Linked DNA regions of Sus scrofa. The main gene of each other region encodes a partner of the protein of the gene in region 3 in a complex. Links are inferred from orthologs where the notes say so. Each region holds a gene or a part of one and is shown on either strand. Other genes may lie near its edges.

Evidence for each region.
Region 1: the proteins of FBLIM1 (region 3) and FLNA are in contact, whole or in part, in a crystal structure (PDB 4P3W), measured with the Homo sapiens proteins. The link is inferred for Sus scrofa from reciprocal best matches to the Homo sapiens genes FBLIM1 and FLNA. Residues at the interface, in NP_001337080.1 of Homo sapiens: Lys7, Arg8, Val9, Ala10, Ser11, Ser12, Val13, Phe14, Ile15, Thr16, Leu17, Ala18, Pro19, Pro20; in NP_001104026.1 of Homo sapiens: Met2207, Gly2208, Thr2263, Arg2264, Gly2267, Ala2268, Gly2269, Gly2270, Leu2271, Ala2272, Ile2273, Ala2274, Val2275, Glu2276, Gly2277, Pro2278, Ser2279, Lys2280, Ala2281, Ile2283, Phe2285, Cys2293, Glu2306, Phe2311.
Region 2: the proteins of FBLIM1 (region 3) and FLNC are in contact, whole or in part, in an NMR structure (PDB 2K9U), measured with the Homo sapiens proteins. The link is inferred for Sus scrofa from reciprocal best matches to the Homo sapiens genes FBLIM1 and FLNC. Residues at the interface, in NP_001337080.1 of Homo sapiens: Arg8, Val9, Ala10, Ser11, Ser12, Val13, Phe14, Ile15, Thr16, Leu17, Pro19; in NP_001449.3 of Homo sapiens: Thr2339, Ala2344, Gly2345, Gly2346, Leu2347, Ser2348, Ile2349, Ala2350, Val2351, Glu2352, Gly2353, Pro2354, Ser2355, Lys2356, Ile2359, Phe2361, Asp2380, Glu2382, Phe2387.

Annotation. Positions count from the first base shown.
Region 1 is NC_010461.5:124,896,642-124,900,227, forward strand, and holds part of FLNA (filamin-A), read left to right. Parts: intron 1-114; coding exon 115-363; intron 364-483; coding exon 484-581; intron 582-668; coding exon 669-816; intron 817-1,209; coding exon 1,210-1,328; intron 1,329-1,420; coding exon 1,421-1,498; intron 1,499-1,589; coding exon 1,590-1,752; intron 1,753-1,855; coding exon 1,856-2,056; intron 2,057-2,563; exon of another isoform or gene 2,564-2,569; coding exon 2,570-2,707; intron 2,708-2,793; coding exon 2,794-2,917; intron 2,918-3,001; coding exon 3,002-3,138; intron 3,139-3,223; coding exon 3,224-3,417; intron 3,418-3,539; coding exon 3,540-3,586. UniProt on the Homo sapiens protein: Promotes orthogonal branching of actin filaments and links actin filaments to membrane glycoproteins. Anchors various transmembrane proteins to the actin cytoskeleton and serves as a scaffold for a wide range of cytoplasmic signaling proteins.
Region 2 is NC_010460.4:19,784,751-19,788,801, forward strand, and holds the start of FLNC (filamin-C), read right to left. Parts: upstream 2,867-4,051; 5' UTR 2,622-2,866; coding exon 2,267-2,621; intron 1-2,266.
Region 3 is NC_010448.4:74,957,288-74,960,873, forward strand, and holds part of FBLIM1 (filamin-binding LIM protein 1), read left to right. Parts: intron 1-3,315; coding exon 3,316-3,429; 3' UTR 3,430-3,586. UniProt on the Homo sapiens protein: Serves as an anchoring site for cell-ECM adhesion proteins and filamin-containing actin filaments. Is implicated in cell shape modulation (spreading) and motility.

The DNA.
Region 1 (3,586 bases), on a different chromosome or scaffold from region 3:
CCCTCCTGCCCGGGCTGCTGGGCCTGCGGGTGTGCTGCCCCCCAGCCCACGTGGCCATGTCCGTGTGCGCCCGTCGGCCGGCCTGCCCAGCTCTGCCGCTCCCTCCCCATGCAGACAGCAAGGCCATCGTGGACGGGAACCTCAAGCTGATCCTGGGCCTCATCTGGACGCTGATCCTGCACTACTCCATCTCCATGCCCATGTGGGATGAGGAGGAGGACGAGGAGGCCAAGAAACAGACCCCCAAGCAGAGGCTCCTGGGCTGGATCCAGAACAAGCTGCCGCAGCTGCCCATCACCAACTTCAGCCGGGACTGGCAGAGCGGCAGGGCCCTGGGCGCCCTTGTCGACAGCTGTGCTCCAGGTGCGCGGGGGCTAGGGGGCTGCCTGCGGGGCGGGGCGGGGCGGGGGGGGGGGGGAGGCGGGGTTGGTGCGCAGGGAGGTCCCGCGTGCCCGCGGACTCACGGCCTTCCTCACACCGCAGGCCTGTGTCCCGACTGGGACTCTTGGGATGCCAGCAAGCCGGTGAACAACGCGCGGGAAGCCATGCAGCAGGCCGACGACTGGCTGGGCATCCCTCAGGTACCGTGGGCCGCCTGGGGCTGAGGTGCTGCGTCCCTGGATCCTGGGACTCGCAGGCCAAACGGCTTCTTCTTCCACTCGTGACAGGTGATCACCCCTGAGGAGATCGTGGACCCCAACGTGGACGAGCACTCCGTGATGACCTACCTGTCGCAGTTCCCCAAGGCCAAGCTGAAACCAGGGGCTCCCCTGCGGCCCAAGCTAAATCCGAAGAAGGCCCGAGCCTACGGGCCAGGTGAGGGGGCCCGCCGGGGTGCTCCTGCTCAAAGACCTCCCCGGGGGGGCGGTCCTCTCTCTCGAGGTCTCGCGGCGGCTAGTGTGTCACACGCCCCCATGGGTCAGACGGGAGGGGGTCAGGACCGGTGGGAACCGGCCACCGGCTGGGACATTCCCCATGGCCCATCCGCCTGCGGCGGAGCGTGTTCCAGGAGGCAGGAGCACAGGCCCAGGCAAACTCAAGGGAGCATTCTAGAAAACAGGCCCAGGCCTGCCCCACGGCAGGCGTGTGGCGGGGGCTGAAGGCCAGGCTCTGTGCCCGGTTCCGTGGGCGCCCGCCCGGCGGGCTTGGGCAGGCTGGTGGGGGGCAGCGGCCCTAACCGGCAGCCCCTTCCTCCCTGGCCCCGGGCAGGCATCGAGCCGACGGGCAACATGGTGAAGAAGCGGGCTGAGTTCACTGTGGAGACCAGAAGCGCCGGCCAGGGAGAGGTGCTGGTGTACGTGGAGGACCCAGCCGGGCACCAGGAGGAGGTAGGACTGCCGCCAAGCAGGGCGGTGGCTGCCGCGCCTCCACCGGGAGGGGCCACTCTGACCAGAGGCTCATGGGCTCCTTCCCACCCTAGGCGAAGGTGACCGCCAATAACGACAAGAACCGCACCTTCTCTGTCTGGTATGTCCCCGAGGTGACGGGGACTCACAAGGTGAGCCCTCGGCCGGAGGGGAGGCTGGTGGCGAGGGCAGTCGCTGGAGGGCCCCGACCCTGCCCTCACAGCCCGCCCCTCCTGGGAACAGGTCACCGTGCTCTTCGCCGGCCAGCACATCGCCAAGAGCCCCTTCGAGGTGTATGTGGACAAGTCCCAGGGCGACGCCAGCAAAGTGACGGCCCAGGGCCCCGGCCTGGAGCCCAGCGGCAACATCGCCAACAAGACCACCTACTTCGAGATTTTCACAGCAGGTGAGGGGGGTGGGGTGCCAAGGCCGGCAGCCCTGGGGGAAGGGCTGCCAGGGCCTGGGAGCAGCCTGGGGGCTCTGGGAGCTGAGACGGTGCCTCGTGGCAGGAGCCGGCTCGGGCGAAGTGGAGGTCGTGATCCAGGACCCTGCGGGACAGAAGGGTACCGTGGAGCCTCAGCTGGAGGCCCGGGGCGACAGCACGTACCGCTGCAGCTACCAGCCCACCATGGAGGGCGTGCACACGGTGCACGTCACCTTCGCCGGCGTGCCCATCCCGCGCAGCCCCTACACTGTCGCTGTTGGCCAAGGTAGGCCAGCCCCGGCAGCCTCCGTGGGGCACGGCTGCGGCCCTGCAGCCGCGGGAGGGGAGGCGGCCCCCGCCCCGTCCCCTGGGGCTGTCTGTGCCTCCGCTGTCTGGGGAAGCTCTTTCTTCCCCTGCGGGGGCCTCCTCCTCCTTCTCTCGCCTCTCCGTCTCTCTCTCTCCACGCTTTCACCTTCGGAAGAGCTCGCTCCAGCTGTCTAGAAACCCGCTGCTCTCTGCTCTGCCCACAGGGTCCACGGTACTTGGATCTGTCTTGCTCTGGGTGCTGGGAGGGGCGGGCCGGGTGGGGGCCGGGGGCGGGGGCGGACGGAGCAGGTGGGAGGAGGCCTGCCACGTCCAGCCTGGACCGCAGGTCCCAGGGTCACGGTCCCTTCCGGATCTTCCTCACACATCCCTCGCCCTCCTGTGCGGCCCGACGGCCTGGCCCGGCCCCGCGGGAGGCAGGGGAGGGTTGGCCAGGCCCCAGCTCCCAGGAGCTCAGCCAGCCCTCCGTTCACAGCCTGTAACCCAGGCGCCTGCCGTGCCGTCGGCCGGGGCCTGCAACCCAAAGGTGTGCGCGTGAAAGAGGTTGCCGACTTCAAGGTGTACACGAAAGGCGCGGGCAGCGGGGAGCTGAAGGTCGTCGTGAAGGGTCCCAGTAAGTTGGCCTGCAGCCGGGGTGGGTGCTGCCGGCCTCGGGCGGCGGCTGGGCGGCAGCCTGAGGCCCTCCCTTGTCCCTGGCAGAGGGCGAAGAGCGCGTGAAACAGAAGGACCTGGGGGATGGCGTCTACGGCTTCGAGTATTACCCCACGGTCCCCGGCACCTACACCGTCACCATCACGTGGGGTGGCCAGAACATCGGGCGCAGGTGAGGCCTGGGCCGGGCGCCCCTCCCCCCTGCCGGGCTCGCCGTGGGCGCTGGGCACTCCCCTGCGTGGCTCTCTCCTTGCAGCCCCTTTGAGGTGAAGGTGGGCACCGAGTGTGGCAATCAGAAGGTGCGGGCCTGGGGCCCCGGGCTGGAGGGTGGCGTCGTTGGCAAGTCGGCCGACTTCGTGGTGGAGGCCATCGGGGACGATGTCGGCACCCTGGGTGAGTTGGCAGCTGGGGGCAGAGCGTGGCGAGGGCCGCCCCGCCGAGGCTCCAGGGTGCTGACGGAGCTGGCGGCTGTCGGCAGGCTTCTCGGTGGAGGGCCCGTCGCAGGCCAAGATCGAGTGTGACGACAAGGGCGACGGCTCCTGCGACGTGCGCTACTGGCCGCAGGAGGCCGGCGAGTACGCGGTGCACGTGCTGTGCAACAGCGAGGACATCCGCCTCAGCCCCTTCATGGCCGACATCCGCGAGGCGCCCCCCGACTTCCATCCCGACAGGGTAGGGGGTGTGTGCCGCCGGCCGGGAGGCTAGGCTGGTGCCCCTGATGGCTGGTAGGGCTCCTGCCGCGCCGTCTCTGGCATTGACACCTGGCCCCTGAGCCTTGCGTGGTCTCTTGTCAGGTGAAGGCACGCGGGCCCGGCTTGGAGAAGACGGGCGTGGCCGTCAA
Region 2 (4,051 bases), on a different chromosome or scaffold from region 3:
GGTGCCGGGACAGCTGCTGCCCCCTCCAGCCCCTCCCTTGGCGCTTGCTTGGCTCACGGAGAAGGAATAGCAACTGGGGAACAGCTGCGGGACAGAGCCGCCTCACAGGCCTCTTTGTTCGGAGGGGCCGAGGGGGTGGCGGGGGTAAGAAGGGCACTCGGCTCCTTCAACCCAGGCTGAGTACCCCTACCTCCTTCAGGGGCGCTGCTCAGCTACCCGCTCCCACCCTGCGCCTAGAAAAGGAAGTGGGGGATCTTTTTGACCTCCTCCCAGGTGCCCAGATAGCCAATTTCAGTCCTGACATGATGCCCAGGAGGCCCCACGCCAACCCCTTCCCACCCCCAGGCCAGAAGGAACTAGAGGAAGCAGGATGCCTGCCTGGTGGGGAACCCGCTACATCTCCCCGGGGTTGGGCAGCCCCTGCCGGCTGTGCCCCTTCCCCTCCAGCCTCAGCCTCAGGTCTAGCAGCTGAATTGCTGACAGCTTATCTCATCGGTGGCGGAGGGAATGAGCCACTTGGCCCAAATGGGGCCGGTTCCCCTACCCCTCTGCAGGAAGGGGAATGGAGGGTTCCCTCCCGCCCCCCAAACCAACTTTTGCTTCTTCCCCCTCTATTCTGAGCCGGCCTCTCCACACACAGTTGAGCCAAGGGGGCCGGAGCCAGGCACCGCCGTGGGGGAGGGGCGAGGTGTGCTCAGGAAGGATGAGGCCTGGAGAGGGGCCGAGCGCCCCCACAGCGGTGAGGGGAGGGCAAGGCTGAGCCATTTCCTATAAAGTCCTGGTGAGGCCCCAGGCTGTCCCCCTGAGACCCCACCTGGGACAATCAGTCCAGTCGGTCAAATTCCAGCTGCTGGGGGATGGCCGCCCCCTGGCCTGACTCCTCTCTGACCCCTGCCCCCCCCACCACAGAAGCTCTCAAGCAGCCCTCAGCTCTAATACATATACCAGGACCCCCTCCCCCACCCCCTGTCCTCAGGCTTGTCCTTCTGGAAAGCTCAGAGACATCTGCTGTGTCACGGAGGCAGGGCTATTTCCAGGCCAGTGAGGGTGGGGTGGGGGGGCAGAATTGGGGCAGGAGGGGGTAAGGCCTAGAGAGGGGGCCGGACAGGGCAAAGGGCCCCAGACTGACCTCAGCTGCTAATTCAGGCGGCCCAGAGATGCCCTGAGGGGGCTGGGGTGTGGACAGACCTTCAATTATCTAAATAAGTCTCTGGGGTAGCCTGGGGGGTATCAGACCCCCTGTGAATCTCCCTTCCTGGTGCCTGGGGGTGCACCCCGCCAAGGGGCCCTTTCCTGCAAATCAAGGCAAGGCTCTGGAGAGCTCACCACAGGAGGAGGGGGTTCGCTAGGCCCCCAGCTTGCGAGGATGACTGCAGGGCCTGCCCCTCTCTTCTCAGAGCCCACCCTTGGCTCCCCACTCCCAACGCTGGAGTGCCTCCCCACCCCCACCCAGCAGTGACACACCTTCCAAATCTGGTTACACTCAAAGACTTCCTCCCTTCTCCAGGCCTTCCCTCCCACCCCTCAGCCCAGACTATTAGCCGCAGCCAATCAGGGGCTAGGGGGTGGGTTGGGGCCGGGCGTGGACGGGAGGGAGCCCCTTCCCCGGCTGGTTGGAGCCGGTGGAGGACAGGCAGGGGTTAAGGATCCCCGCGGTCGCTCAGAGCCTTTTTAGGTTTCCGAGGCTGGGCCCTGCCCGCCCAGGCCCCTGCGCCCGAACCCAGCTGCCGAGCACATGCCTGCGGGGGGCCCGGGCCCCGCGCCCGCCCGGCCCCCAGCTCTCCCTCTGAGCGCTGAGATCGGGCAGCGCTCGGGACCTGTCTTCAGCCGCTCCTCCGCGGTGGAGGTGCTAGGAGACTGAGAAGCCATTTGCTTTGTTTGGGGGGAGGTGCCCCCGGGAATCCGTGTTGGTCCCTGGCCCTGTCCTCTCAAGCCTGGCCTGGGTTGCGGAGGGCAGGAAAGGGGACGATGAGTGGAGGCGGGTCGCTGGGAGCGTGCGAGGGAGGCTGAAGCTGGAGGACTCAGAACAGTCGGGTCTGGACTCCCCTGGGCCCCCTCGGGATGCCAGCCGTCCAGAGAGGGATGTGAGGGCCGGGCCCGGCGCGCCTGTGTCGGCGGGCGGGAGAGCCGAGCCAGGGTCCCCTCCCGGAGCCGGGGCGCTCCCCGCCCTGTCTCGGCTCTCCGCGCGCCCACCCGGCACCTGCGTCCCCTGGCCCCACCGGCCAGCCCCTCCTCGGGGTATGTCCCCCTCCCTGCCCGCACTGACCGATGGACACGAGCTTGATATGCTCGCGCTCGAGGAACTCGAGGGCCACGGACACGTTCTCCAGCTTCATCTGGCGGAAGTTGGGGCGCGGGTGAAACTTGCGGTACATGCGCTTCTGGCTGAGCACCTCGAGCAGCGCGATGAGGCGCAGCCCGTCGCTGAGGTCTCGCTGCAGGTCGGTCAGGCGCTTGCCCACGCACTTGAGGTGCTCATTGCACCAGCGAGTGAACGTGTTCTGCTGGATCTTCTTCCACGGCGCGTCCTCGGCCAGGTCCTTCTCTGTAGAGGGCATGTCGTCCACCTCGTCGCCCAGGCCGAGGCCCGCGGCCTCGGAGTAACCGCTGTTGTTCATCATTCCGGCGCCGGCTGGGGCGGGGGCTGCGCTGCCGGCTGGGGTCTGGCTGGGGGCGGCGGGCTGGGCTCGGGCTGGAGGCGCTGTCGGGGCGCGATCGCGGGACTCGCGGCTCTGCGCTGCGCGGTGCGCTGCTCTCAACTTCTCTCGCGCCTCTGGCTGGCGGGACTCGGCGGGCCTCCTCGGCTCCTCGGCCGCGGGCGCTCTCTCGGTCTCTCTCCCTCCGGGGGCGGAGCGGTGCTCGGGAAGTGCGGGCTGGGCTGGGGCGGGGGGTTTAAGAAGCCCCCGGGCCGCGTCCCCCCCGCCGCGCCCGCGGCCCCCGGGTCCACGTCAGAGCGCCGGCCTCCCAGGAATGCCGCCCGGCCCGCGGGTGGGGGCCGCGCCGAGCCCGCCGGCCCCGCCTCCCTCCCCCTCCCCCACCCGGCCGCCCGCGGGAGGGGGTCTACCGCCCCCGGCCCGGGGCGCGGCCCCGGGGAGGCTCGGGGCCGGGCGCCGCCGCCGCCGCCGCGCGGGAAAGGTGGAGAGCAGAGCTGGAAAGTGAGGGGTGAGGGCCGCCAACACCCCAAAGCTGAACATCGCCGGTCGGGCATATACCCCGCCACCGGCGAGATGAGAGGCTCCTGGGGAAACTAAGTCCAGTGGTTAGGGCAAAACACGCTGATCGGGTGTTGACAGAACTTTCTGGATTGGTTGGTGGCAGGGCTGTTGACAGGGCCTGGGAGTCCTGGCGTCTAGCCCAGGGTATTGTCCACCTGCGGACAGGGAAGGGAAGTGTGTGTGCTTGTGTGCAGATAGACAGACGCTGCCCAACCCGAGAAGCCTTAGAGTAGGGGTGCTCCCCTTGATGGGTAAAAAGTCTCACCTGAAGCCCAAACCCAGGGTCCCAGGGGAAAGACGGCGGCTACCCCTGACTCAGTGTCCCTGTCACCAGCCTGTTTGTCCTCATCCTCTCAGAATGAAGCTGAGCTCAGGAGAAGGGTACCCAGTGAGTCACACGGTGCCCCCCCACCCCCAGTTCTGACTCAACCAAGGTGATGAGAGGGGAGGGAGGGCCTCGGTACAGTAGTACCCGGAAGCCCCCTGGGCAGTGTGCCCATTTGGGCCACAGGGCAGATCCTTCAAGTCAAAGGGCAGGTTAGCCAGACAGAGACAGGAGAGCCCGGCCTAGAGCAGCCAAGGGGAGACACTTTGGGGCTGGTGGGCAGGGAGAGCCCCAGGGAGCCTGCCAGGAGGCCTGGGCAGGACTGGGCTCGGGGTAAACCAAGGCAGCTGGAGGCCTAGGGAGTGGTGACAGCAGGGCAACGGAGACACTTAAAGAGAGCAGCTGGCCTGGGGTGAGTTGGAAAAGCAGAAGGACATACTTGTGTAAAGAGAATACGTATCCTGCAATTCTGTAGGATGTGTGTGTCCCACACCTCCTGGTGTCCCCTTTA
Region 3 (3,586 bases):
TGCCCTGGGTGCGGCCCTAGAAAAGGCAGAAAGAGGCAAGGACCTGTAAAATCTCACAGTGGCATCAGTGAGCCTGAAGCATCGGGAGAAGTAGAAATTTCTAGGTGTGTCTGAGTACAGCATGGCGAATGGTGTGGTAACTATGGGGCCAGAGAGAAAGAAAAGACCCCGTGTGCCAAGCTAAGAAGTCTGGACCTCAGGCTACAGGGAGTGGGGAGGCTGGTTGGAAGTGCGTGCAGTAGTCCCAGCAGGAAATGCCGGGGAGTGGGGTGGAGGTGACACAGGCCCCACACTCAGAAGGCTCCTGTGCTTGGTTTGAAGCTCTGCTGTCATTTTTAGAAATTCTTCATTTTGAATACGGGGCTCTCCATTTTCATTTTTGCCCTGAACCTTGCAAATTATATAGTTACTCCTGCTGAGGAGGCTCCAAGAGTCCTCCCCTCCCTCTTCTTGTCACCCCCATGTCACTGATGTTTCTGTCTTCCTTGGTGATGGTGACAGAGTTATCACCTAAGTGGGCACTCCCAGACCAAATCTCTTAACCAGCCAAGGAGTGATTCCAAATCTTTATTTCCTCCCACTTATTTTTTATTTGTCTTTTTTTTTTTTTCCCTTAGGGCTGCACTCATGGCATATGGAGGTTCCCAGGTTAGGGGTCGAATCGGAGCTACACCTGCCGGCCTGAGCTACCACTGCCGGCCCAAGCCACAGCCACAGCAATGAAGGATCCAAGCTGCATCTGTGACCTACACCAAGCTCACGGCAATGCCGGATCTTTAACCCGCTGACCAAGGCCAGGAATTGAACCCTCATCCTCATGGATCCTAGTCAGGTTTGTTAACCACTGAGCCATGATGGGAATTCCTATTCCCTCCCATTTAAACAGATATGTGGAGCCAAGAGGCCATTTTCACTGAACATGACCAGGAAGCTTAGCTGAGAAGTTGACACACTGCTTCATAATTATGTTGATTTGTTGGTTATAGTTCAAAGTCCAAGTGATAACGCATCTTGAAAGAACAATGATGAAATTCAAGTGCTGTTGTCCCTGCCTTAGACCACGTTAGGTCCAGTGGCAAGTGGCATTTCCCTGAGCCTGGCTAGTGAGCAAATTACCCTCCCAGCTTGTCTTTGATCAGCTTGGCCAAGGCTACGGGAACATTACCCAGGCTGCTACGGTGAGTCAATTTGGACTCTAGCAGCTGTGTTTCAGACTGTAAGCCTCCAGCTGCAGCAACCTGGAGCAGATTTGGGGTCCTGTTTCTCTAGGAAGGGAAATGGGTTTCAAGGTACTGTCCACACTGCCATTCCTGCTTATTTTGTCATCTAGATTATTTCTTTCTTTCTTTCTTTTTTTTTTTTTTTTTTTTTTTGTCTTTTTTGCCTTTTCTAGAGCCGCACCTGCAGCATATAGAGGTTCCCAGGCTAGGAGTCGAATCAGAGCTGTAGCCACCAGCCTGTACCACAGCCATAGCAACACGGGATCTGAGCCGCGTCTGCAACCTACACCACAGCTCACGGCAATGCCGGATCCTTAACCCACTGAGCAAGGCCAGGGATCGAACCCGCAACCTCATGGTTCCTAGTCGGATTCGTTAACCACTGAGCCACCACGGGAACTCCTCGTCTAGGTTATTTCTTACTGTTGTTGGAAGGGTGACACAACTTTCATACTCAGCTAGTTTTTTTTTTTTAATTTTTATGCTCGCACCTGGGGCACATGGAAGCTCCTGGGCTAGGGATAGAATCAGAGCTGCAGCTGGAACCGCAGCCATAGTAACACGGATCTGAGCTGCATCTGAATCCTGCACTGCAGCTGCATCCTGTGCTGCAGCTTGCGGCAACCCCAGGTCCTTAAGCCACACAGGAACTCCATCATGTTGAGTTTTTTTGTTTGTTTGTTCATGTTTTAGGACCGCACCCACCCATATGGAGGTTCCCAGGCTAGGGGTCGAATTGGTGCTGTTGCTGCTGGCCTACACCACAGTCACAGCAAAGCAAGGATCCAAGCCATGTCTGCCACCTACCCCACAGCTCACGGCAGCGCCAGATCCTTAACCCACTGAGTGAGGCCAGGGATCGAACCTGTGTCCTCATGGATGCTAGTCAGGTTCGTTAACCGCTGAGCCACAACAGGAACTCCATCATGTTGAGTTTTTAATATATAAAATGCTTTCATATACACATGCCTTCTTGAATCCTAATGACGATCTTGTGATAGGGGACTTACTGTCCCCATTTAAGATGAAGAAACAGGCCAAGAAAGCGGTTCTGCCCCTGCTCTTCTGGGCTGGCCGGCTTTCTGTCACCTGACAGCTCCTTCACAGACTGTGTGACACCATCATAGTTGAGATGTTTTCTCACTTGATTCTGATTTAGAAGAGTTCACATGTGCCTTTTGGGGACTTGAGGTTTGGCACTCGATGCTCTCAGAATGCCATACAAGTGGCCTTTTGGAACAGCACAGGTCCTGGCATTAACTAGCCCAGGATTCCCTAGAGAGACTCTAGAGGTGCAGTTCTAGGGACAAGACACACGAGGGCGCCCTCCCCAGCTGGCTGTGTTGGGTCAGGATGGCACCCGTGACCCCAATTGTCTCTATGGAGAATAGCTCCTCTGGGCAGATCAGGGCAGCTTCCAGAGGATTCCAGCTGTGCGCTGAGCCTGGTCTCTGGACATTAAATGTTCCTGTTATTAGTCTCCCATATGTGTCCTGGTGAGGCCCAGAGGAGGTGCAGCCTCATGGCAGAATGGTGACATTGGCAAAGTTTGGGCCCCTGAATCCCCATCCTCCTCGTTCTAAAATCTTTTTTGGTGATTTTGGAGTTTCCAGGTGGCTCAGTTGGAATCCAGCATTGTCACTGCTGTGGCTCTGGTTACTGCTGTGGCTCAGGTTTGATCCCTGGCTTAGAAACTTCCGCATGCCAAAAAATAAAAACGTAAAAATTAAAAAAAAAAAAAATCTTTTGGTGATTTAGAGACATTAGAAATGTTAAAGTTTGTGCCAGTGTTAGGGCTGTCCAGGTGGTAGGATGACAGAGAGACCCCTAGACTCTGAAGCTGGAGATCTGGTCCTGTCCCAGATGTGGAACCCACCCCTCCCCAGACCTCAGGGAGGTTAAGGCCCTTCTAGTCCTTTCCACGATCCCTCAGGGGCCTCTCTGCCGAAGGCCCTCCTCTCCCCACAGTGTCCTCGGTTCTCCCCTCAGCTTATTCCGTTCATTGCATCGGTGGGTGCTGGTGAGTCCCACCTGTGTGGGTCCAGGCCGCAGTGCTCAGGCCTGGGGTCCATCTACGTGTGTCTTGTTCCCACAGGACTGCAGGATCCTCCTGTCTGTGGAGCCCACGGACCAAGGCTGCTACCCTCTGAACAACCGTCTCTTCTGCAAGCCGTGCCACGTGAAGCGGAGCGCGGCGAGCTGCTGCTGAGGGCACCCGTGGGCTGGGGCCAAGGTCGCACACTAGCCCCGCTCGGGGCCCCTCCCTAACTTGTTTCCCTTCCTCTCCTGCTCTTGCACACTTTCCTTCCTAGCCGCACCGGGACCAGCCTGAGGCTCGGCCCATCATGTCCTGGATTCGGGGCTGA